Sus scrofa: one gene and its partners. The protein of the gene in region 2 interacts with the protein of the main gene of each other region in a biochemical or structural test. Links are inferred from orthologs where the notes say so. Each region holds a gene or a part of one and is shown on either strand. Other genes may lie near its edges. The genes, in order: ISG15, USP21 and AURKA.

The links.
Region 1: the proteins of USP21 (region 2) and ISG15 form a complex in vitro, tested with the Homo sapiens proteins (2 studies listed by BioGRID, with this or other methods). The link is inferred for Sus scrofa from reciprocal best matches to the Homo sapiens genes USP21 and ISG15.
Region 3: the proteins of USP21 (region 2) and AURKA form a complex in vitro, tested with the Homo sapiens proteins (2 studies listed by BioGRID, with this or other methods). The link is inferred for Sus scrofa from reciprocal best matches to the Homo sapiens genes USP21 and AURKA.

What each region holds. Positions count from the first base shown.
Region 1 is NC_010448.4:63,359,526-63,366,286, reverse strand, and holds ISG15 (ubiquitin-like protein ISG15), read right to left. Parts: upstream 3,087-6,761; 5' UTR 3,011-3,086; coding exon 3,008-3,010; intron 2,606-3,007; coding exon 2,105-2,605; 3' UTR 2,076-2,104; downstream 1-2,075. Other genes in the region: AGRN (agrin), read right to left, coding at 1-133; uncharacterized protein LOC110261384, read left to right, coding at 132-440, 1,156-1,524.
Region 2 is NC_010446.5:89,288,014-89,295,645, reverse strand, and holds USP21 (ubiquitin carboxyl-terminal hydrolase 21), read left to right. Parts: upstream 1-413; 5' UTR 414-644; intron 645-1,463; 5' UTR 1,464-1,484; coding exon 1,485-2,084; intron 2,085-2,884; coding exon 2,885-2,944; intron 2,945-3,088; coding exon 3,089-3,209; intron 3,210-3,418; coding exon 3,419-3,530; intron 3,531-3,716; coding exon 3,717-3,872; intron 3,873-4,374; coding exon 4,375-4,439; intron 4,440-4,694; coding exon 4,695-4,798; intron 4,799-4,980; coding exon 4,981-5,067; intron 5,068-5,360; coding exon 5,361-5,439; intron 5,440-5,668; coding exon 5,669-5,776; intron 5,777-5,883; coding exon 5,884-5,998; intron 5,999-6,217; coding exon 6,218-6,308; 3' UTR 6,309-6,590; downstream 6,591-7,632. UniProt on the Homo sapiens protein: Deubiquitinates histone H2A, a specific tag for epigenetic transcriptional repression, thereby acting as a coactivator.
Region 3 is NC_010459.5:56,967,200-56,975,365, reverse strand, and holds the start of AURKA (aurora kinase A), read left to right. Parts: upstream 1-2,930; 5' UTR 2,931-3,328; exon of another isoform or gene 3,329-3,342; intron 3,343-6,935; 5' UTR 6,936-6,940; coding exon 6,941-6,979; intron 6,980-8,166. UniProt on the Homo sapiens protein: Mitotic serine/threonine kinase that contributes to the regulation of cell cycle progression.

The DNA of each region.
Region 1 (6,761 bases), on a different chromosome or scaffold from region 2:
CCTCCCGCCGCTCCAGCGCGCGCTCGGGGCACGTCCCGTCGGCGCTGGGCAGGGCGCGCGCGGCCACGACCAGGAGCAGCAGCAGCAGCAGCGGCTGCAGCGGGGCCGAGCCGGACGGCCGCAGGCTGGCCATGGCGCTGGCGGAGGACGGCGGAAGGCGGCCGGAGCGAGCGCACGGGCCGGACCGCGCCGCAGACGGGACTGGACTGGACGGGACGCAGCTCCTGGGAGGCGGCGGGAGCGCGGGCAGCGCGGGGGCGGGCCGGGGGCGGGCCCGGGGCAGCACCACCCCCTTCCCGCCCCCCCCGCCCCGTCTGCGCCCGCCCCCGGCCCTCCCGGCGCCCAGCGACCCGCGCCGGCTGCGAACAAAGCGCCGGGACAGCGGCGCCGGGTGGAGGCCGGGCTGCGGAAGGGAGGGGGCCGGTCTGCGTCGGGCCAAGGTGGGTGGTGGGACTGGCCGGGGCGAAGGTGGGCCGGGCGGGGCGGGGGCGGGGGCGGGCCGGAGGGTGATCTCCTTGCTGCGACGCACCCCCACGGACGCCCCTGCCCCGCCCGCGCGGACGTTCTCCACCCCCACTCCCCCGCCAGGAAATGCGGCTGAAATCGGGTTAATGCATAATCTGGAGGCGACGTGACGGGACTTCCAAGGGGCTCCAGGCTGCGCCGGGGCTGGGGCGGCGAGGACTCCCCGGCTGCGGGGAGGGGCTGCCAGATCCGGGGCCCCACCGCCTCTTGAGCCCTGCAGGGCAGTGCCCCGCCCCCAGCAGGAGGGACTGACTGGGGACCCCAGCCCCTCGTTGGAACTGGGGACGGAAGCTCGGCCGGCCCGGGACCCCCTTCCTGCTGGGACCAATGCGGGCCGGGGGCTGCAGCGATTGGTCACAGGGAGTAGAGGCCCGCCCACCTCCCCCTCCCGGTAAGCTCCGGCCCCTCTGCAGGGAGACGGGCTCCCTCTGCCGCCACGAGGCTGCAATCGCGTGTCAGCAGTGGACGGCCGGCCACGCCCCCTCGCCCGCTCCCGGAGCTCCGCTAGGTACCGAAGGTAAGCCGAGAAGGGTATATGCTGAGATCCAGACCCGCTAACTTAGAGCATGACCTAGATGAAGGTGGTGGGGGGCGGGGGGCGGGGAGAGGAGATCCCTTCTGTCTCTCTAGGACTGGGTCCGCCGCGCACACCCTCACGCAAGCCGGCCGTGGATCTCGGAGCCAGAGGCAACGGAGGATGAGCAGCGGAAGAGACCCCTCTGGAGGAGGACGCTACTCCGCCCAGACCCTGGTGGAGGGATTCAAAAGAGGAGGGTGGCGCTGAGGGTGTGTGCTCACACTAAGTTACGGTATGACACAGAGGTGGGGGTGGAGGTGCAGGAAGTGAGGCTGGAGCCAGGAGCACCCCCGCCGATGCACCCTCACCTGCATATCTACACATATATCTGTCACAGGCAGGTCTGCTCCCCCTCCCCCACTCAGCTGTGGACCCCCACAGACCAGGAAGGAGGCTTCTGGGTCTTCAGCCAAATGCCCTGAAGAGCCCGAAAGCAGAGGTCCTCAGAGCCATGCCCAGAGAGGTCCACGTCCTGTGCTCCTGCCTCCCCCATGTCCAGGGCTGACTCAGCCTGGCTCCTGTGGGGCTCACGGGGGAGGCTGGCTTCCCTCACAGCTCACCCAGACAGGCCACAGGGGCTCATGCCCCCACTGCTTCCAGGGGCACTCACCTGGCCAGGCCTTCTCCTCCCTGTGCTATCTGCTGACCCAGATGTGGGGCTGCAGAGCTGACCACGGCACAGCAGGAAGACAAGGATGGGCTCTAGCGGCTGTGCCTCTTTTTATTTCTCTAGAAGGTAATTTCCCAAAGATGTGGGGACACATCTTCGATTTCTCTGGTGTGTGTGGGGCACCATTTTGATCCCACAAGGCTTGTCCCTTAACTTGGCAACTCTAGTCTGGTGACCACCCAGCAACCTCTGGGTCCCCTCATCCCACTCCCTCCTCCATCTCACCTCCTGTCTCACCAAAATGGGTGCAGAATGGAGGACTGACACCGAGATGGTGCTGGCCAGAGAAGAATGGACGCTTTGTTACACTCAATTTTGCCACAGCTTTATTACTAGCACTCGGTGAGGTGCTCCCCTGGCCCTGTCCCGCCCCCCCGCAGGCGCAGATTCATATACACGGTGCACATAGGCTTGAGGTCATACTCCCCCAGCTGGTGCTCATCCTCCATGGGCTTCCCCTCGAAAGTCAGCCAGAACTGGTCAGCTTGCACGCCCTCCTGCTGACACACCTGCTGCTTGAGCTCAGCCACTGTCTGCGTCAGCCAGACCTCATAGGCGTTGCTGCGACCCTTGTCGTTCCTCACCAGGATGCTCAGTGGGTCTCTGAAGCTTTGCACCATCAACAGGACTGTGCTGCCTGGGCCCAGGCCCTGGTTGACCAGGGGCACCCCATCCTGAAGCACATTGCCGGCTGGGTGAGCCAGACGCTGCTGGAAGGCGGGCACACCGATCTCCCGGGCGATCTGCTGCTTCAGGTCCGATGCCATCATGCAGTCCCTCAAGGGCACCAGGATCTCCTTGCCTCCCAGCATCTTCACCTTCAGTTCCCTACCCTGTGGGCGTCACACAGGCTCAGAGACCCTGTCACCAGTCCCAGGGCCACCACATAGTGGGGCAAAAGCTCCTAGAGCCCAGGAGTGCTGCTCCCTCCTCCCTACCCTCCCCACCCTCCAGGAGGGGGACCCCGGGCACTGGAGAGGGCAAGGGGGCATTTCTAGAATGGCCACCACCCACAACCATCATGTCACCTCCCTTCACCAGCTAAGATGCCTCCCTGTGCCGACCCCAAGGGATCTCAGCCCTCTGAGGACACAGACCCTGACGTCAGGAGGAGCCCCATCCCTCCCCTCATGCTTAGGAACCTGGCGGGCCCTGAGCAGCTCTGTCTGCCTGGTACACATAGGTGTTCTGCCCCTGGGAGAGGCCACCTGCCCCACCTGTCAAACCCCCCTCACCATGGCCGTGGGCTTTGGCGACAGGTCCTCTGTGAGCTCTGCTTCGCTGCCTCTGTGCGCTCTGCGTCGCTGCCGCTCAGCTCGCCGCTGCTCTTCAGCCGTGGCGGCTCAGCCCTTTAAAAAGCCTGAGCAGCCGCGTCAGAGGGCGGAGTCCAGGAGCCAACCACCGCGGGAGCCGAAATCGAAATCGGCTTCAGTTTCGGTTTCCTTTTCCCAAGGCAGGCTCCGGAGTGCATGGCAGGAAAAAACAAATAGCAATGACAGGACATTGAGGAAGGGGGTACAGAGTCTCTCCAGCTGCCAGCCAGGCACACGACAGCATCCCCGCCTCCAGAGGTACGTGTTCAGAAACCCCCGGCACGCCCAGTGCCTCACATCCTTTTCACGATGCACAAATAGCATCATAATACCGAGAGCTAACAATTGGCAACTTTCACTTTCCATTTACCAGTTTGCAAAATTAGGAACCTTGGAAATCATTGCCGGGGTTAATTCAGAAATAGCAAAACATAGTGACAGTCCAACCAAGCCAGAGATAACAACCATTGGTTTATGACAATATTTATTCAGGTTTTTTATTCAGATTTTTTAAATGAAAGAGATGTGTCTTTTATTTTCCATGAAAATGAACTCACGAATACTATTGGCAAGGTAAAAAAACTATCTACAAAATGGGAGAAAATATTTGCAAGTCATGTGTCAGTTAAGGGCCTAGTATCCATAATACATAAGGAACGTTTACAACTCAACAACAAAAAGATAAACAACTCATTTAAAAGTTGGGCAAAAGACTTCACAGACAGTTTAAAATAGAAAATACGTAAATGGCCAACAACCACATGAAAAGATGCTCAACATCACTGGCCATCAAGGAAATGCACATCAAAACCACAGCGAGATACCATGTCACACCCACTAGCATGACAATAATAATAACAACGATTAAAAAGAGAACAGTAACAAGTGCTGGTGAAGGTGTGGAGACATTGGAATCCTCATACATTGCTGATGGGAATGAGAAGTGGTGCAGCCACTGTGGAAAACAGTCTAGTCAATCCTCAAAATGTTAAACAGAATTTTCATGTGATTCAGCAATTGCATTTCTGGGCACAGGCCCTAGAGACCCGAAGACAGGTGTTCAAACAAATGCTTGCACAGAAATGTTAACAGCAACTCCGTTCACAGTAGAGGAGTCATAGAAATGGGGTGGGGGGAGGAACCAAATCCATCAGCAGGTGGAGGCCTCACCAAAGTATGGCCCATCCTGGAGTTCCCGTCGTGGTGCAGTGGTTAACGAATCCGACTAGGAACCATGAGGTTGCGGGTTCGGTCCCTGCCCTTGCTCAGTGGGTTAACGATCCAGCGTTGCTGTGAGCTGTGGTGTAGGTTGCAAACGTGGCTCGGATCCTGTGTTGCTGTGGCTCTGGCCTAGGCCGGTCGACTAGCCTGGGAACCTCCATGTGCCGCGAGAGCGGCCAGAGAAATGGCAAAAAGACAAAAAAAAAAAAAAACCAAAAAAACAAAAACAAAGTATGGCCCATCCTTAGGGTGGAACACTCTTCAGCCATAAAAACGAGTGAAGCACTGCCACAGGCTACACTGTGAGGGAACCTTGAAAATATGGTGCTCAGTGAAAGAAGATAGACACAGAAGGTCACATATTGTGTGACTCTGTGGAATGGCCACACGCGGCCAGTCCATGGAGACTCAAAGTTGTCCGGTGGTAGCCAGGGGCTGGGGGAGGGGGGAAGAGTGGCAGCGAAGGACACAGGTCTCCTTTGGGATGGTGAAATGTTTCAGAACTGCATCAAGTGACGGCTGTGCCACACTGTAAATATGCTAAAGGCCACTGAATTACATACTTTAAAGCGGTTAAGTTTATGTTGCATGGAATTCCCGCTGTGGTGCAATGGGATCGACGGTCTTGGGAGCGCTGTGACATGGGTTCCATCCCTGGCCCAGCACGGTGGGTTAAGGACTCGGCGTTGCTCTGAGCTATGGTGTAGGTTGCAGATGCCTCTCGGATCCTGTGTGGCTGTGGCTGTGGTGTAGGCCGGCAGCTGTAGCTCTGATTCGACCCCTAGCCTGGGACGTGAGTGCAGCCCTAAAAAACAAACAAACAAACAAACAAAAACAAAAAAAAAACACCCTCCTAACTACTGTCACCGTTTTGTAACCTGCTTCATTCTTAGATGTGTTTAAACATCTTTCCATAGTAATAGATACTTTTATGCAAGTTGTTTTAGTGTCTGCGTATGTTCCCCACAGCATCAGGAGTCTACTGGAGAATAGGATGCAATCAGGAGTTCCCCTGTGGTTCAGTGTGTTAAGGATTCGGTGTTGTCACTGCAGTGGCCTGGGAACTTCCACATGCTGCAGGCGTGGCCAGAAAAAGAGCAAAGAATAGAGTGTAATTAATTAACCCATCCCATATTGTTGAATATTTAGGTTGTTCTCAAATTTTCACTATTACAAACTGCACATTATAGGCATATGTTTGCTAAAAATAAATAGATAATTAATTTTTAAAATAAATAGCTTTAAGTGAACTCAGTCAGACAATGAGACACCAACATCAAATGCTTTCACTGACATGTGGAATCTGAAAAAAGGACAGAATGTACTTCTTTGCAGAACAGATACGGACTCACAGACTTTGAAAAACTTATGGTTTCCAAAGGAGACAGTTTGAGGGGTGGGGGGATGCGCTGGGGGTGTGGGATGGAAATCCTATAAAATTGGATTGTGATGATCATTGTACAACTATAAATGTAATAAATTCATTGAGAAACAAACAAACTAAAATAAAGTAAAAATAATTTTAAAAACATTTTTGTCTTTTATTCTTTTCCCTTTAAAAATAATTTTAAAGAAAAAAAAAGTAAATAAACTTTTAAAAAGAAAGTAATGAGTTCTGGTGGCCTAGTGGTTAAAGGATCCAGTGCTGTTGCGGCTGTGGCTTGGGTCACTGCTGTGGCGTGGGTTCCATCCCTGGCCCTCAAACTTTTGCATGCTGCAGGTGCAGCCAAGAAATAAATAAATAAATAAATGGAAAATACAAAGTATTTTGAATATAAATTGATCATTCCACCTCCCCTTCCCCCAAATGATCTCATAGGGTACCAAAGTTGCTAACATGCCAAAAACAGTTGAAAAAATTGGTTCTTCATATGATTGAAAATTTTTTCTTGACACACTCCTTGCATAAATATTAGTATTATAAAAAGAAAACTGCAAATATAACAAAAGAATAAGAATGTGAAAACCCTTCAATCTCCTTCAGCTGACCATTATTAAACATGGCACAAAGATAAAGAAATTAAAAAATTAAAACAGTTACAAAGAAGTTTAAAAATAAAAACATAAGGAGTTCTCTTATGGTGCAGGAGGTTAAGGATGCAGTGTTGTTGCTGCAGCAGTGTGACTTGCTGGCATGGCATGGGATCAATCCCTGGGCTGGAAATTTCCACATGCTACAGGTGCAGCCAAAAAAAAAAAAAAGCTATTCTGATTTTATGTGGCTTATAGAAGATCCCAATTATCTAAAATATAGACATAAAGGAAATTTGAAAGTAAAAGGATGGAAAGAAACGAATCACATAAATATTAACTAAAAGGAAGCAGATATGGCCATATTAACAATTTTATTAATAGATTACCAAAGAAATCTTACAGGTAAATCACTATTTGATATAGAAGTTTGCATAACAATAAAAGGTTGAGTTCATTGGTAAAATAAAATTATTTCAAACTT
Region 2 (7,632 bases):
GGAGCAATGGCTTAAAGACAACTTGGGGACTTCCCTCCTGGCTCAGCAGAAACAAATCTTACTAGCATCCATGAGGATGCAAGTTGATCCCTGCCTTCCCTCAGTGGGTTAAGTATCCCGCGTTGCTGTGAGCTGAGGTGTAGGTCGAAGACACGGCTGAGATCTGATGTGGCTGTGGCATAGGCCAGCAGCTACAGCTCTGATTCAGCCCTTAGCCTGGGAACCTCCATATGCCCCAGTGCCGCCCTAAAAAAGCAAAAATAAATAAATAAATACATAAATAAATACATAAATAAATGCAATTTGGGGCTGAGCTGGGAACCCAGGAGTCCTAAAGTTGGCTGTGTTTCCATGGTGTCGGTGGCGGAGCCGAGGGGGCGGGTTCACGCAAGCGCCGAGGAAGGAGGTGGGTGGATTCTGAGTGTGGGTGCGCAAGCGCTCTGAGAGACAGTGAAGCCGGCGGCCGGTGCCCGGGCGGGACCAAGAAAGATGGCGGCGGCCCCTGCGGCGGGAGAGACCTGGGCAACAGCTGCGGCTAAAGCTGCAGCCAGGCCCGCGGGGGTGCTGCACGCGGGTAGTAGGGGGTGGCCCTGAGCTGGGGCCTGGCCCCGGCTGGCCTCCCCCGCCGTCTTACCCGGGGACAGGTACGGTCCGGGACATTATGGCGTGGGGGTTGCCGAGGGAAGACTGCTCCCAGACCTGGGAGATCGCCCTCTACAAAGGCAGAGCAGAGGGCCCTGCAGGCCTGGGAGAACTGGGCTGGCGGGACCAGCATCCGTGGATCTTGGAGAATACGCCGCTGGACCCCGTAGCCAATCAGCAGCCTCGGCCTTTCTGCCCTCGAGGGGGGCGGACCCGGTTGATGCTGGCTGTGGTGGGAGAGGTGCAGAGATTAGAGGTCAGGGAGTTGTTCGTCCTCCCTCCTCGCCGCTACCCCTGAGCCCCAATACCACTTTGGAGCTCAGAGGTGGGGGAGGGAGTGATTGACAAGTCACTCTTTTAGTCTGCTTCGTTTGCAGCCTGGAGGGGCTGGAATCTGAGGATGGAATGCAGTCCTTTGGGCTCTTATACTTGCATCCACACCCCTCTTTGACCAGAGGTCCCAAGTGACCCAGGGCGCATCCCACTTGACTAGCTAGGAATGCGGGACCCTCATGAGTATTTAGATTATGAAGACAGCAGAGATAGGAACTATCTGTTGTTGGCTCTCTCATATTCTGCAGGAAGAGAGTGAGGAATGTGGAAAGAGTCAAAGCCCTGGCTTGCTGTATTCATTCATTCGTTCATTTACTCAGTGCATGTTAAGTATTTACTTTATGCCAAACACTATGCTAGGTATTGGGGATACAATGATTGATATGGTGGACATGGTTCCTGACCTCCATGTATGTAGAAGCTGGTATAGTAGGCTAGGTTCCCTCCTTCCTCCCTTTTCAAATGCTGACCCTCTCTTCTCCTCCCAGGTCCAGCCTGTGGTGTCCACAATGCCCCAGGCTTCTGAGCACCGCCTGGGACGGACCCGAGAGCCACCTCTTAATGTCCAGCCCCGAGTGGGATCCAAGCTACCATTTGCTCCCAGGGCCCGAAGCAAGGAGCGCCGAAACCCAGCCCCTGGGCCGAATCCCATGTTAAGACCTCTGCCTCCCAGGCCAGGTCCCCCTGAGGAACGTCTCAAGAAACTGGAGCTGGGACGGGGACGAACCTCAGGCCCTCGTCCCAGAGGCCCACTTCGGGCAGATCATGGAGTTCCCTTGCCTGGCTCACCACCCCCAACTGTGGCTCTGCCTCTCCCATCCAGGACCAACCTAGCCCGTTCCAAGTCTGTGAGCAGTGGGGACTTGCGTCCAATGGGGATTGCCTTGGGAGGGCACCGTGGCACCGGAGAGCTAGGGGCTGCACTGAGCCGCCTGGCTCTCCGGCCTGAGCCACCCACTTTGAGACGCAGCACCTCTCTCCGCCGCCTTGGGGGCTTTCCTGGGCCACCCACCTTGCTCAGCATACGGACAGAGCCCCCTACTTCCCATGGCTCCTTCCACGTGATATCTGCCCGGCCCTCTGAGCCATTCTACTCCGATGACAAGATGGTGAGGACTTGCCAGCACACATGGCCTTCCATGCTCATGTTCCTTCATGCTTCCAGCTTTCTTGCCATCATGTGGCTTTTCTTTCCCCCTTTTTCCCCAGGTTCATTTTTTTAACCCTTTGTTACAGCAGTTTGGACTCTCTCTCCCTTACTTAAGTGCCCTTGAGCCTCATAGACCCTTTTCAGGGTTGTCTGTGACTCTCCAGCAGGGTGTGCCATTTCATTCCCCAAGGAATTAACTCAACCATTTGGAATTCTTTGGGTCCCCAGGCCCTTACTTCCCCTTTCTGTACCTTCTCTCCTAGGATGCTACCTAAGTCTAATTAATCTCTGGAGCTGAAGAGGGGCGGGTTCAGAACATCTGAGCTAATGTGGTTGCCCATTTCCCGAGCTGAGTGAGCTAGGCTGAGTGCAGTTGGAGCCTTCAGGAGAGGGTGCAGGAAGGGGCCACGGGTGCAGGAGGGGGCCTTGGGGGTAGCAAGGTGGGGGTGGGGAGCAGCTGGGCAACCATGCCAGTGCTTGGGGAGTTGCCCCAGGAGCTGCATCGCCGGCTAGCTGGGCAGAGGAGTAAGTGGGCAACAGGTGGGACAGCCATGGCTGAGTCCGTGGTACACTCAGCTGTGATGGGCTTACTACTCATGGCCAGTGAGGTAGGGAGACCCCAATACCCAGTGAGGGAAAGAGTGTAGCGTTTGGGGGTGAAGGATGGGGTGGGGGAGGCAGTGGACAGCATGCTGTCAAAAGGATTAAAGTGCCAGGTGGGATGTATGGGAACCTGCTGACTGATCTCTGACCTTCCAGGCTCATCACACGTTGCTTCTGGGCTCTGGTCACGTTGGCCTCCGAAATCTGGGGAACACGGTGAGAGCCATTCTCCTGTCCTTCCTAATGGGAATGTGAACTGGTACTGGGGACAGGCATGGGGAAGGAGGGCACTGAAGTTCTCCCAGGGCTTCCTAGGCACTGGTTTGGAGAGATAATGGCAATGTCTCTGCTGCTCCCCAGTGCTTCCTGAATGCTGTGCTACAGTGTTTGAGCAGCACTCGGCCTCTTCGGGACTTCTGTCTGCGAAGGGACTTCCGGCAAGAGGTTCCTGGAGGGGGCCGAGCCCAAGAGCTTACTGAAGGTGGGGCAACAACTCCTGCTTCCTCCTTTCAAATCCTCTTTTTCCCAACCCATTGTAGGTCCATCTGCCAGTGTTGGTGGCCCCAACCCTGAAAGCCAGCAGTTTTGTCTTTTTCACAGTGCCTGCTTTCCTAGAGTTGTTTTCCACCCTCTTGCTTCCCTCTTCCAGTCGTTAACCTTTGTTTCCCTTCCCCACTCCCACCCTAATAGCCTTTGCAGATGTGATTGGTGCCCTGTGGCACCCTGACTCCTGTGAAGCTGTGAATCCTACTCGATTCCGAGCTGTCTTCCAGAAATACGTTCCCTCCTTCTCTGGATACAGGTGGGAGAACTGGAGGGTATGGGATTTCTCTCTGCCCATGTCTGGGGATAGGGCCAAGCAGGGGCCCTGGCAGCATCATTCTGAGCCTTGAGCTCTATCTAGGAAGTGGGGTCAGATGTCTGGGCACGGGTTAGTGACTGTGGACTAGGCAGGGGTCAGTTGCCCACGCTCTTTGTCTGGCTGCAGCCAGCAGGATGCCCAAGAGTTTCTGAAGCTCCTCATGGAGCGGCTACACCTAGAAATCAACCGACGAGGCCGCCGGGCTCCACCAATCCTGGCCAGTAGTCCAGCTCCCTCCCCACCCCGCCGAGGAGGGGCGCTGCTGGAAGAACCTGAGTTAAGGTAAGGTCGCGCCCCCTTTCTCTTGCCCATAGTTTATTAACAGCGTTCATCCTTCGCAGAAGTGAGCTAGTCAGGATTGAGGATGTAGAGTCCAAGGAAATGCTTATCGTAGAATTTGGTTTGAGAAGCAGTGCAGAAGTAGGAAGAAGGCAGGAGGAGGAGGGAGACTGAGGGGCACAGATGGAGGCAGAAGATAGTGCTGTGGCTGTCACCAGATTGACGGAGGAGGGGATAATTAATTTACAAGGTACATAGGGGTTTGAAGCCAGGTGGAGGAAGACGGCATGTTCTTCCCTTGTCTGTGTTCCTTTCTTTTCCTCTCACGTGGATTTCCCCGAAAAGTTCTCTGAAACGTTACTCGTTTGACTCTTCCTTGCAATTTTGAGAAGGAGCTGGGGTATGGGTGGGGTACAGGGCTCCGTGGATCATTTCAGTGGTGTTGGGGGTGCCCAGTGTTCCTGCTGTCTCATGGGTGCTCCCCACTTCCCTTGATCTGTGGTAGTGATGATGACCGAGCCAACCTAATGTGGAAGCGTTACCTGGAGCGAGAGGACAGCAAGATTGTGGGTATGGAACAAGACAAAGTGATGGGGGAAAATTCATGTGTGGGGGTGAAGACTTGGCAGGAAAAAATCAAGACTGTCGAGGGGTCTGGGAATAAGATGATGAAAATGTGGAAAAGTTAAGAGGGGAGAGTTAAGAGGGGAGAGTTGGCGATGGGAAAGAAGGGTCAGGCAAAGGGCTGGGAAGCGACAGGAATGCCAGAAAGCATCTCGGGCATCCCACAGTGACTTTTTCTCCTGCCCCTTTGCTTCTATCTAGACCTGTTTGTGGGCCAGTTGAAAAGTTGTCTCAAGTGCCAGGCCTGTGGGTATCGCTCCACGACCTTCGAGGTTTTTTGTGACCTGTCCCTGCCCATCCCCAAGGTGGGATTCCAGAGGATTCCGGGGGTGGATGGGACATGGGTTCTATGACCCAACCCTACCCACCCCCAGTGTGGGAGGGAACCATGTGGGTCTCTGGAGAAGAATCGAAGCTTGGGTTAATTGAGAAGAGTTGGAAAAGGAAATTCAGAACATGCTGACCCTTCACTCCCCTTTCCCCCCAGAAAGGATTTGCTGGGGGCAAGGTGTCTCTGCGGGATTGTTTCAGCCTTTTCACCAAGGAAGAAGAGCTAGAATCGGAGAATGCCCCAGTATGTGGAGGTTCACAAGGGATATAGTAAGGGTGGGATACCGGAGGTGGGGGAGGCTCCATGTGGGTAAAAGGGGTTGCATGATGCCTTAGTATGAGGAGTAACACTTATATGTAAAGATTTGTGTAGGAGTATTTTTCAGATATGTCCTGATCTGTCAGGGCAAAGGGCAGTGGCCCAGAGAACACAGAAGTAATAGGGAGCACAGTAAATTTATGTGAGTCAGGGTATTGGAAAAGACAACGGAGGTGAGGAGCACATTAACCTTATAACATTATTTGACATTTATTCAGGTGTGTGACCGATGTCGGCAGAAAACACGAAGTACTAAAAAGTTGACAGTACAAAGATTCCCCCGAATCCTCGTGCTCCGTATCCTAATCTTCAAATTCTTATTTCTCCCATTCATTCTTTTTCCTCATTCTCCAAGTTTGCAGAGGCTGGACATTTGGGGATTCGGTTTGCCTTAGGAAAAGGCTGCCACTCCATCTTTCCCTCCTGTGCTCCCAGTGTGTGTTCAGGGAGGGGAGTAGACAACATTCAGTTCCCCAGCCCCCTCAGAGGCCCTCTGCCTCCCAAATTCTCCTTAACCAGAACTTAGATCTTAATCGATTTTCTGCCTCCCGAGGCTCCATTAAGAAAAGTTCAGTAGGTGTAGACTTCCCACTGCAGCGACTGAGCCTAGGGGACTTTGCCAGTGACAAAGCCGGTGAGTCTGGGAAGGAGGGTCCTGAGGAGTTCCATGAAGGGGAGGGAGAGAATGGCGGAGCAGGGCACAGCTCTAACTATAGAATTTGGTCATCTCTAACCCTGAAGGAAGCCCCATATATCAGCTGTATGCCCTTTGCAACCACTCGGGCAGCGTCCACTATGGCCACTACACAGCCCTGTGCCGGTGCCAGACTGGTTGGCATGTCTACAATGACTCTCGGTGAGAACAGCCTTGCCCCATTCCTGCTGCAGCCTTGACACCTTTCCCCAGTATGAAGAAGCCCCAGGAGACAGTGCCTACTGAAAGGAGATGTGGGATTGGGGGTGTGGGGGCGGTGTCTTTCCTAGGCACCACCCGGATACTGTGATGTTGATCTTGTGGGGAGGAGGGTCTATACAGGAAAGATCACACCTCCTTCCCCATCTCCCTTCTTCCTAGTGTCTCCCCTGTCAGTGAAAACCAGGTGGCATCCAGTGAGGGCTACGTGCTGTTCTACCAACTGATGCAGGAGCCACCCCGGTGCCTGTGACCTCCCTTTTAATCCCTGGCACCTGTGAAATCCTTTCAACACCCTTAAGCCCCAGGCTCCCCATTTACCTCAGAGACGTCTATTTTTGTGTCTTTTTAATCGGGGAGGGGGGAGGGGGTGGTTGTACCTCCTATTATTTTTTTTATTAAAAAGTACCCTTCCACCTGGAGGCTCCCTTGTCTCCCAGCCCCATGTACAGAGCTCCCTAGGCCCTGCCCGTGTACAGTCCCCACACCCTCTGCAGTCTCACTTTTTTGTGAATAAATTTATTAAGAAAAAAAATGATGTTCTTTGTATTTGTGCCTAGCGAGTGGAGATATAGAACTGGGCCGAATGGGTAGTTTTCCTGGCACTCAGTTCCCTTTCTAAACGATGGGGGGCGCTCGGAGCCGTGAGGCTGAGGGTGGGGATGGGGATGCAGGATCGGGACGCGTTGATGCCCAAGTTTGCCAAAGCGGTGAAGGTTTACATTGGGAGGAAATGAAGGCTGCAGGGAGGCCTGGATCCAGAGTGCAGGCACTGGGTCGACGGGGTTTGCCGGCGTAGGGGCCTGCCCCGCGAGAGCAAAGCACCCAAGGACCCCTGTTGACAAACACGGTACGTTGCCGGGGCGCCCTAGCTCCCGTAGGCCCAGGCTGTTGCTAACATCAAGGAGCTGTTTATGGAGCCACCTCCCCGGGGACCAGCCTCCAGTGTCCCTGTCTACTCTCCCTACAACCAAGACTCATGAGGACCTTCCTCCAGGGTTCCAACCCTAGCTGGACCTGGCAAACTTGAGCTGGGGAATGTTAACCAGGATTCTGCTCTTGCCGCTCCAGCCCTGAGGGGAGGGCAGTACCGAATATGGCCGCTCTCTCCAACCTGGCACCGAACCGGTTAACCTCCAGCTCCCCGGCCTTCTACAAGGGTTGCCCCACCGCCTCTGAGGGAGGAGGAGTCGCTGCCGGTTCAGTGTTTTCATTGGTGAATGTGATCCGGGGCCTTCCAGAACCCACCAATCCGGGAGCAGGAAAGGTAAGGTTAGGATCGTGCCGCGAGAATAGTGTGGACGGAGAGTCGGAGAGACCGAAAATCTTGGGGGCGGAGGCCGCGGACTGAAAACACTAGGCCTAGCGAGGGGTGGGAGAGAAAACGCGCTTCTTAGCCCTGGCGGCCAGTCGGTGCCCCCAGCCCTGTGCTGGCAGATAGCGTGGGTGTGGCCCTTATCCACTTCCCCGCGGAGCCGGCTGGGTGATGTCTTGAGACCTCTACCTCCTCCTCCCCTCATTTTTCTTGTCCCTCTCGTGGGTGAGTCCGAGGCCCTGGGCGGGGACCTCACAGTTCC
Region 3 (8,166 bases), on a different chromosome or scaffold from region 2:
GCAGAGCATGGAGCGCAGCGGCACGAAGAAACTGTTCAAATCCTGTTAGCCAATATTTACAGTGAGACCTCTCTTCTTCAACTTTTCTTTTCTGCCAAACTACCCACCTGTGATTTTTATTCTTTACTGCTATCCCAGAACCTTCCATTTCTTCTGTTAATAAAACACTGGCTCATATTTGCAATGGGAAAGACAGCTGGTATCGTCAGATGTCTAGACACTACTGCCTGCACCAGCTGAGCTGTTAGGTTTACTTATGTTCATTCTTAACATATGTTTTAAGGCAACTAAGCTTGTTAAATTCTATGATTTCCTTAGGCAGTAAATCAAAACATGAGAGCTAAAAAGCTACTGTGCTATGAAAATGAAATCAAGTTGAACGCTTCGGAAAGATTCAAAGATCAATGGCTTAATAAAATACTGGCAGAGCTCCCGTCGTGGTGCAGTGGTTAATGAATCCGACTAGGAACCATGGGGTTGCGGGTTCGATCCCTGGCCTTGCTCAGTGGGTTAAGGATTGGGCGTTGCTGTGAGCTGTAGGTGTAGGTCGCAGATAAAATACTGGCAAATGGGATATGGTGAAACAACTATAAAAGGAAAAATGTGAAGGGCTATGCACTCAGGCTGATTTATAAGGGCTCAAGTTTTCCCTTGTCTTAGAGAAAAAAACTAGATGCTGGTTTTCGGTTTGTGCAAAAACAAAAACAAACTCCAAATGGTGGACATGATTAGATAACTTGATTATAAAAATCAATGTCTGTACATAAATGTACGTCTGTACAGATGCCGGAAGGCTGCCGGGGCAAACAGCAATAAAGAATAAAAGTCAAAAAAAAAGGGGGGGGGTTCCCATCGTGGCGCAGTGGTTAACAAATCCGACTAGGAACCATGAGGTTGCGGGTTCGGTCCCTGCCCTTGCTCAGTGGGTTAACGATCCGGCGTTGCCGTGAGCTGTGGTATAGGTTGCAGACGTGGCTCGGATCTCGCGTTGCTGTGACTCCGGCGTAGGCCAGTGGCTACAGCTCCGATTGGACCCCTAGCCTGGGAACCTTCATATGCCGCAGGAGCGGCCCAAAGAAATAGCAAAAAGACAAAAAAAAAAAAAAAAAAAGAATAAAAGTCATGGAGAAGAGACTTGTGGTTGCCGAGGGGGAGGGGGTGGGGTGGACTGGGAGCTTGGGGTTAATCCATGCAAACTATTGCCTTTGGAATGGATTAGCAATGAGATCCTGCTGTGTAGCACTGGGAACTATGTCTAGTCACTTACGATGGAGCATGATAATGTGAGAAAAAAGAATGTATACATGTATGTGTAACTGGGTCACCATGCTGTATGGGAGAAAAAAAAATTGTATTGGGGAAATAACAACAACAACAAAAAGTCAAAGGCAGATAGGTAGCTGTGGCAGAGGAGAAAACTGGAAGGCAGAAGCACAGGAGAGATGACTATGAAAAAGGGCAGTGAGTGGGCAGCTAACACTGGTATCTACTGGTATTGTTGTACCTCACAGGGGTGACTGCAAGTGGGAGGTGTTGTGGGGAACAGTGTTTTTTAACTACACACTGCCCCCTGGAGAATTACTGAGGCTAATGATAATAAGAAGAGCTAACATTTATTGAGTTTTTTTTTTTTTACCATGTTTCCTCTCAATTAATCCTCAACACCCTATAAAGGAGGTTCAGTAATCCTGTTTACAGGTGAGGAGGGGCAATAGCTTGGCCAAGGTCTACTGCCCAAGGAACGTGAATTAGAATGCAGGTGATTTGACTCTAGAGACTGTGCTGTTTCCACTGCCTGTAGTGCTCCTTAAAAACTTAATGAACCAGTAAAAATCCATTAGACATTTAATACAGTAATACACATGTTGTAAGCAACTAATATGCATTACCTTGTTCAGTCCTCATCAAATCTCATTTTAGAGGTAGGCAACCTGAGGCCCAGAGAGATTAACTTAACCCAGGACCCAAGAGCTTGTAAATGGCAGAACCTGAACCTTAAACTAATCTATTTGAGCCCAGAGCCTGAGTTCTTACTGTGCTGCACTGATGAGTGTTAATACCAACAGCTAACATTTACTAAGCAATTGCCAAACACCACGCTAAACTCTTAAGATATATTTAAAGTATACGGAGAAAAAACAAATTATATATATACACACACATATATACATACACCCACTAGGACACAACATTGATGATCAAACTGGCTCAAAAAGGTTAGGAAACACTGCAAACAGAATGCTGCTGCGAAACTCGTCCAAGGTTAAAGTGGCCACTGGGATTGCCCACACCAGAGCCCAGAGCTTGAGCACTATTCCATCCTGTATCTCCACTTAAGCCAGGAGCATCAGGAGGCGTACCAAAAGGTTAAAATAAGAAAGACAGGACAAGCCCTGCTTCCCAACTCCCAAAGAACGTTCGCTCGCTGGGCGAGTAAGTGCCTAATTACCATCCCCAGTTTGCAGGTGAAGGGGCTGCGGCCAGAGGATAGGAAGAGGCCCACCCAGGACTGGTCGTACCTGGAGTTGGAAGGAGCACCGCGGCGAGAACACAGACGCCCCCCTCACCGTACGTTCCGCTATCACCCGGACCTAAAGGCCAACTGGGGATGGAGAGAGAGTGAGAGCGAGGCCTTTGAAGAGGAGGAGCAAATGCAGCCTTAGCCTGGCAACTCAGGGCACAGGCCGCATCGCTCACCGTCGACCCTTCCCGCCTCGCCCCTTCCTGTGGTCTCCCAAAGGGCCCAGCCGACCGCACCAGCCACTCTCCGCGAAACCCGGGCCCCCCATACCCGCTCTCTCCGGTCTCCCGCTCTCTCCTAGAAAAATGGAGACGCGAATCCTGCCCAATCGATCGCTCCGCGTGCACGTGCACTGCGCACGCGCAAAGGGCGTCGCGCCGAGCGCTGCGCTATCGATCGAACCCACTCGTTCCTGCCCTTCTCGCCATCTTACTCACGGGCGTGTTCGGGAGGTTCGTTCACCTCCTCAGACTTTATCTCCTACGCGGGGGCCCTGACGCCAAAGCCCTGCTGTCTCACCGATAAATGTCAGACCAGGAGAGCCCTGTGGGCTCTCGAACGGCCTCGGATGTGGCGGGCCGTTGGCTCCACCACTTCCGGGGCCTCACGGAGGAAGTACGCCTGCGCGCCGCCTCTCCTGGGCTGTGACTCAAGCCGGCGAGTTGGCCTTGAACCAATGAAAAGGTAGCGCCTCTCTGACTCAGGCCAATCAGCTTTCGGCTAAGAGGGTTTAACTCCTATTTAAAATGAAGACTTTGCGTCCTAACGGCTGAGCCCTCTGGAGGAAGCGCTGTTTTCAAGTTGGAGGTGAGAACCCCTAGGTGCGTAGCCCCGGAGCAGCTCTCAGGAGGGCGGGCAGCCGCTGGGTGGGTGGCCTCAGCGAGAGGGTGGGAGGGAAGCGGGTGGTGGGGCTGCGGGGCTTGCATGGGAGGGTCGGGGCGAGAAAGGGTCCCCCTGCACCCCCCCCCCGGCCCCGCGCCCCAGCCTGGTGCTTCCCCAGAGCCCTCCCCTCTGCTCCTGGTCCCGAGGCGCCCTGTAAGACGCCACTTGGTGTTATTAAACGCCTGGAGTGGATGGGGTTGTTGAGCTGGTGGGGTGGGCAGTGTGCTTTCAGTGAGCACCTGGGTGAGAAAAATAAAGTTTTTTATTGTCTTGGAGTGTACGTGCTTGGGGGGCGGTGGAGAGCAGGCGACGAACTTAGGGAGGTATCGATAGTGGTGAATGTTAGGCACGGGGGCGACCTTAGACTAGCTGCAAAGGCTCGTGTCCGGGCCGGTTGGGTGAGTGGGTGAGTAAATAACTTCTCGGAAGAGGCCTTCGCGGGCCAGTGCTTCTCAAACTGTAGACCTTGGACTGCCTTTATCAGGACTGCTTGAGGATCCTTGGGAAAAAGTAGGGTCCCACCTAATGGATCAGAAGTGCTTGGGCTTAGGACTCAGGTGTCTGTGTTTTTGTCAAGCTGTGCAGGTGGTTCTGATGGTTCATTGAGAACCTGTGATCTAGCCCAGCGCTCGATGGTTATCTGGGGATGTTGAAATGCGGGAACGGGGATGTTGAAATGCGGGAACTGGTTTGTTAGGTCTGGGATCGGACCTGAAAAGTTTCCATTTCTAACAAACGTCCTGGCTACCACCCTTGAGCAGGAGGCAGTAAAAGTCACCCTTAACGTTCCCTTTTCTTTGAATTATGCACCTTATTTCCTTTCCATGCTTCATTTTTTCCAGGCATTTGTAGGTTTGACAAAGAAAGAAAAAGTCTAAACCCACAGTGCTATTAAATATCGACTTTCCTATTTAGACCAGTAGGATCTCTGGTGTGAACTGCAGGGATCTCGTGCAGGTCCTCTGCATTTGACTCCTGTGCTTGGCTGTAAACCAGAATCACCTGAGAAGCAGTCTTCCTGCAGCTCTCCAGAATTTCTGGATCAGAGATTTATTCTGCTGTTTATTCTTCCTGAGAAGGAAAAGTGTATTAGACTACAGCAAATATCTGCAGCTTCCATTGAAGACTGTGGAATAAATGTCCATGGGCCTCCGTGATCTCATTAGTTTGCTGCTTATAATTGTTAAGGGAGAGTGAAGCATCAGAGCATTGTGAAATTAATGTTCTCATAATGAAAATATATTTCCTTTTCCTTTCTATTCTTTTTTTGGGGGGGGCCACCCTCTGCATATGAAAGTTCCCAGGCTAGAGGTCGAATCAGAGCTGTAGCTCCCGGCCACAGCCACGCCAGATCCGAGCGGTGTCTGTCACCTACACCAAAGCTCACAGCAGCACTGGATCCTTAACCCACTGAGCAAGGCCAGGGATTGGACCTGAGTCCTCAGGGATACTATCAGGTTTATTACTGCTGAGCCATGATGGGAACTCCCTGTCTGTTATTTCTAAGTGACTGTTTGATATAGGACTCCAGTTTCTTTAGCCTATTCCCACCTTCAAGGGAGAGTTATTTGCTTGCTTATCAAGTGGATGTGAAAGCATGGGACGAATGAGTGCTTTTGCTTTTTTAAATTTTTTTTTTTTTTTTTAGGGCCACATCTGTGGCATACGGCGTTCCCAGGCTAGGGGTCCAATCTAAGCTGTAGCTCCCGGCCTACACCACAGCCACAGCAACACTATGGGATCCAAGCCATGTCTGTGACCTACACTGAAGTTCATGGCAACACCGGATCCTTAACCCACTGAGCAAGGCCAGGGATCGAACCCGCATCTTTGTGGTTCCTAGTTGAATTCATTTCTGCTGGGCCATCACAGGAACTCCCAGAATATCTCGATTTGTTAGTGGGATCACTGGGCACTGTGTTGGGAGAGGACCACAAAGGGGCAAGGGTGGAAGCAGAGTCACCATTGGGAGCTTTTCGCAGGTAATTAAGGGGAAGGGGGTGGAGTGTGGTTTGACCAGGTGGGAGTAGTAAAGTTTGAGCAGTGATTTTTGAGGAGGGAGCCTGTGAGATACGCCGATGGGGTAGATAGGTTTGAGGGAGAACCATGTGAAGACGGCTAAGGCCTAAGGCTTGAGCACCTGGCAGGATGGGGTTTCCGGGAGACGGTGTGAGGAGGGAGCAGGACTTCAGTTTGGGACTTGATAAAACTCAGATGCCTCCGATGATCAGGTGGTGGGAGTTGAAAGGAGAGGTCTGGGCTTGAGATGGAGATTTGGGGCTGCTCAGCCTGTGGATGGGGTTGAAAGCCAGGGGGACTGGATGGGCTGGCTCCCCAGGGGAGTGAGAGTGGTTGGGGAAGAAGTGTTTGTGGCCTGAGTGGAGGGGAAACAAGCGTGCAGTGCTTGTTTCATGTGGTGTGTTGGCTTGGGGTACCAGGCAGGCTTTCTGAGGGTGTGAGCGGGTTGTTAGAGGGCTGAGCCCAGCTGTGGGGGGAGACGGGAAGGCAGAAGACCCAGGTTCCAGTTCTTTTAATAAAGATGTCTAGGCCGGGAGTTCCCTTGGTTGCGCAGGGGAAAAGAATCCTACTAGTATCCTTGAGGATACAGGTTCAGTCCTCGCCCTTGCCCAGTGGGCTGGGGATCTGGTGTTGCCATGAACTGTGGTGTAGGTTGCAAACGCAGCTCAGATCCCACTTTGCCATGACTGTGGCATAGGCTGACAGCCGTAGCTCTAATTTCATCCCTAGCCTGTGAACCTCCATATGCCGCATGTGTGCCCCTAAAAAGCAAAAAAAAAAAAAAAAATTTAGGCCCTGGGGCTGGGTGAGGGGCCTTAGGGAAGGCGTAGGTGGAGAAGTGGGGCATCCGGACACTGTGGTTGGTCAAAAGGAGGTTGCAGTGGGACAGCTGGTAAGATGGGAGAATCACCTGCCAGCTAAGTGAAGAAAGGAGAGGGAAAAGTGTCTGATGCTGGGGAATGTGGGGAATGTGAATAAGAGGGGCAGAGAATTGGACTTTGGGTTTGGCTGTAGCCAGTTCAGGCTCTGCAGGGGTCTGTCAGGAGCCTGACCGGTTGGGGGGATAACAGCCCCGAGGGAGTGAGCTTGTGGCCCTTGGATGTTGAAAGAGGAGAGAGATGTGGTCTTAGCTCGAGTCAGTGTGGGGTAAAGAGGACTTTTTTCCTTTTTTAAGGCTGTGGGTATGGAAGCGGGTCTGTACACTGATGGACCTGATCCACTAGGGAGAAGATGGAGCAGAGGGACCAGGCGGTTCAGGAGTGAAGTTGGAGCTGTCAGGGGTGGGGTGGGATGGGGTGGATGAGGGGAGAGCTTAGTCTCTTGGGGAAGGCCCCCACCTGTGCTTTATGGCATGTGGGAAAACACTGCTCCCTTATCAGCCTCATTTAGATGACAGACTAAAATTCTGTGTGATGGTGAGGCTTTTTTGTCAGGATTTATAACCCTGATCCAGCATAGCACTTTGAAGCAGATGGATTTTTATAAATTATAGGTGGTTCTTTTTTCTTTTCAGGTATCATGGACAAATGTAAAGAAAACTGCATTTCGGGGCTTAAGGTAAATCGAATAATCTATAATCTCAAACCCAAAAGGATTTTTTTATATCTTTATTTTTTTATTTTAAGTGAGAATTGCAACGTTTTAAAATTGTTTTTAATTTTTATTTATTTATTTGCTTTTTAGGGCCTTACCCATGGTGCATGGAGGTTCCCAGGCTAGAGGTCAGATTGGAGCTATAGCTGCCAGCGCATGCCACAGCAATGCAGGATCCAAGCCATGTCTGTGACCTACACCACAGTTCATAGCAACACCAGATCCTTAACCCTCAAGTGAGGCCAGGGATTGAACCTGTAACCTCAGGGTTCCTTGTCGGATTTGTTTCCGCTGTTCCTTGATGGGAACTCCTGGAGATTGGTTTTTATATCTGGAATTCATTTCACCTTGACTTTGGATCATAACTTTAATTTTTTTCACGTACCACACCGGTGACCCGAGCTGCTGCAGTGACGATGCCAGATCCTTAACCTGCTGTGCCAAGAGAACTCCTCCAGAAATTAATTTTGTTTGCCATAGTTAGTTGTCACATTTCAGAGCAATGTCAGGCAGTGCTTTAGTGGGCATTTCCTGGGAGTGTGCTTTTGAGTCAGGTTCCATGTCAGATGCAGGCATCATAATGGTGGAAGCAAGCACATGATCAATGACTTAAAAAAGCTTAGAGCTTGGAGTTCCTGCTGTGGCCCAGTGGGTAAAGGGCCTGGCGTTGCCACAACTGTGGCTTGGATTTGATCCCTGGCCTTTGAACTTCCATATGCCATGGGTGCCAAAAAAAACCAAAAAAACAAAAAAACAAAACCATCAGGAAGGTGTGTATGTATATGTGTGTGTGTTTCATGTATAAAACCTGGGTAATTTCAAGGAGGGGTGCGCAGTTCAGCTTGGGGTAGATGGGAATCCAGGAAGGCTTCACGGAGGAAAGACCCATGAAGACCGCTTAGCATTTGATGAACTTTTGTGGAGCAGCTGAGTGAAGGAGTCCTTCATATGAAGATCCTTTAAGTAGTCCTGAGGTTTTTTTCCTTCTGTGTACTTGGAATATAAATACTGCTTGATTTCCACCCCAGAGGAAGGGATTATTTTTAGAAGGCTTTTTCTCCAATAAATGGATACTAAGCCTTTTTTACTGGCTAAAAGTATAAAAATGACCAACTAGAAAAAAGGCTAACTTGATTCACTGTATTTGATCC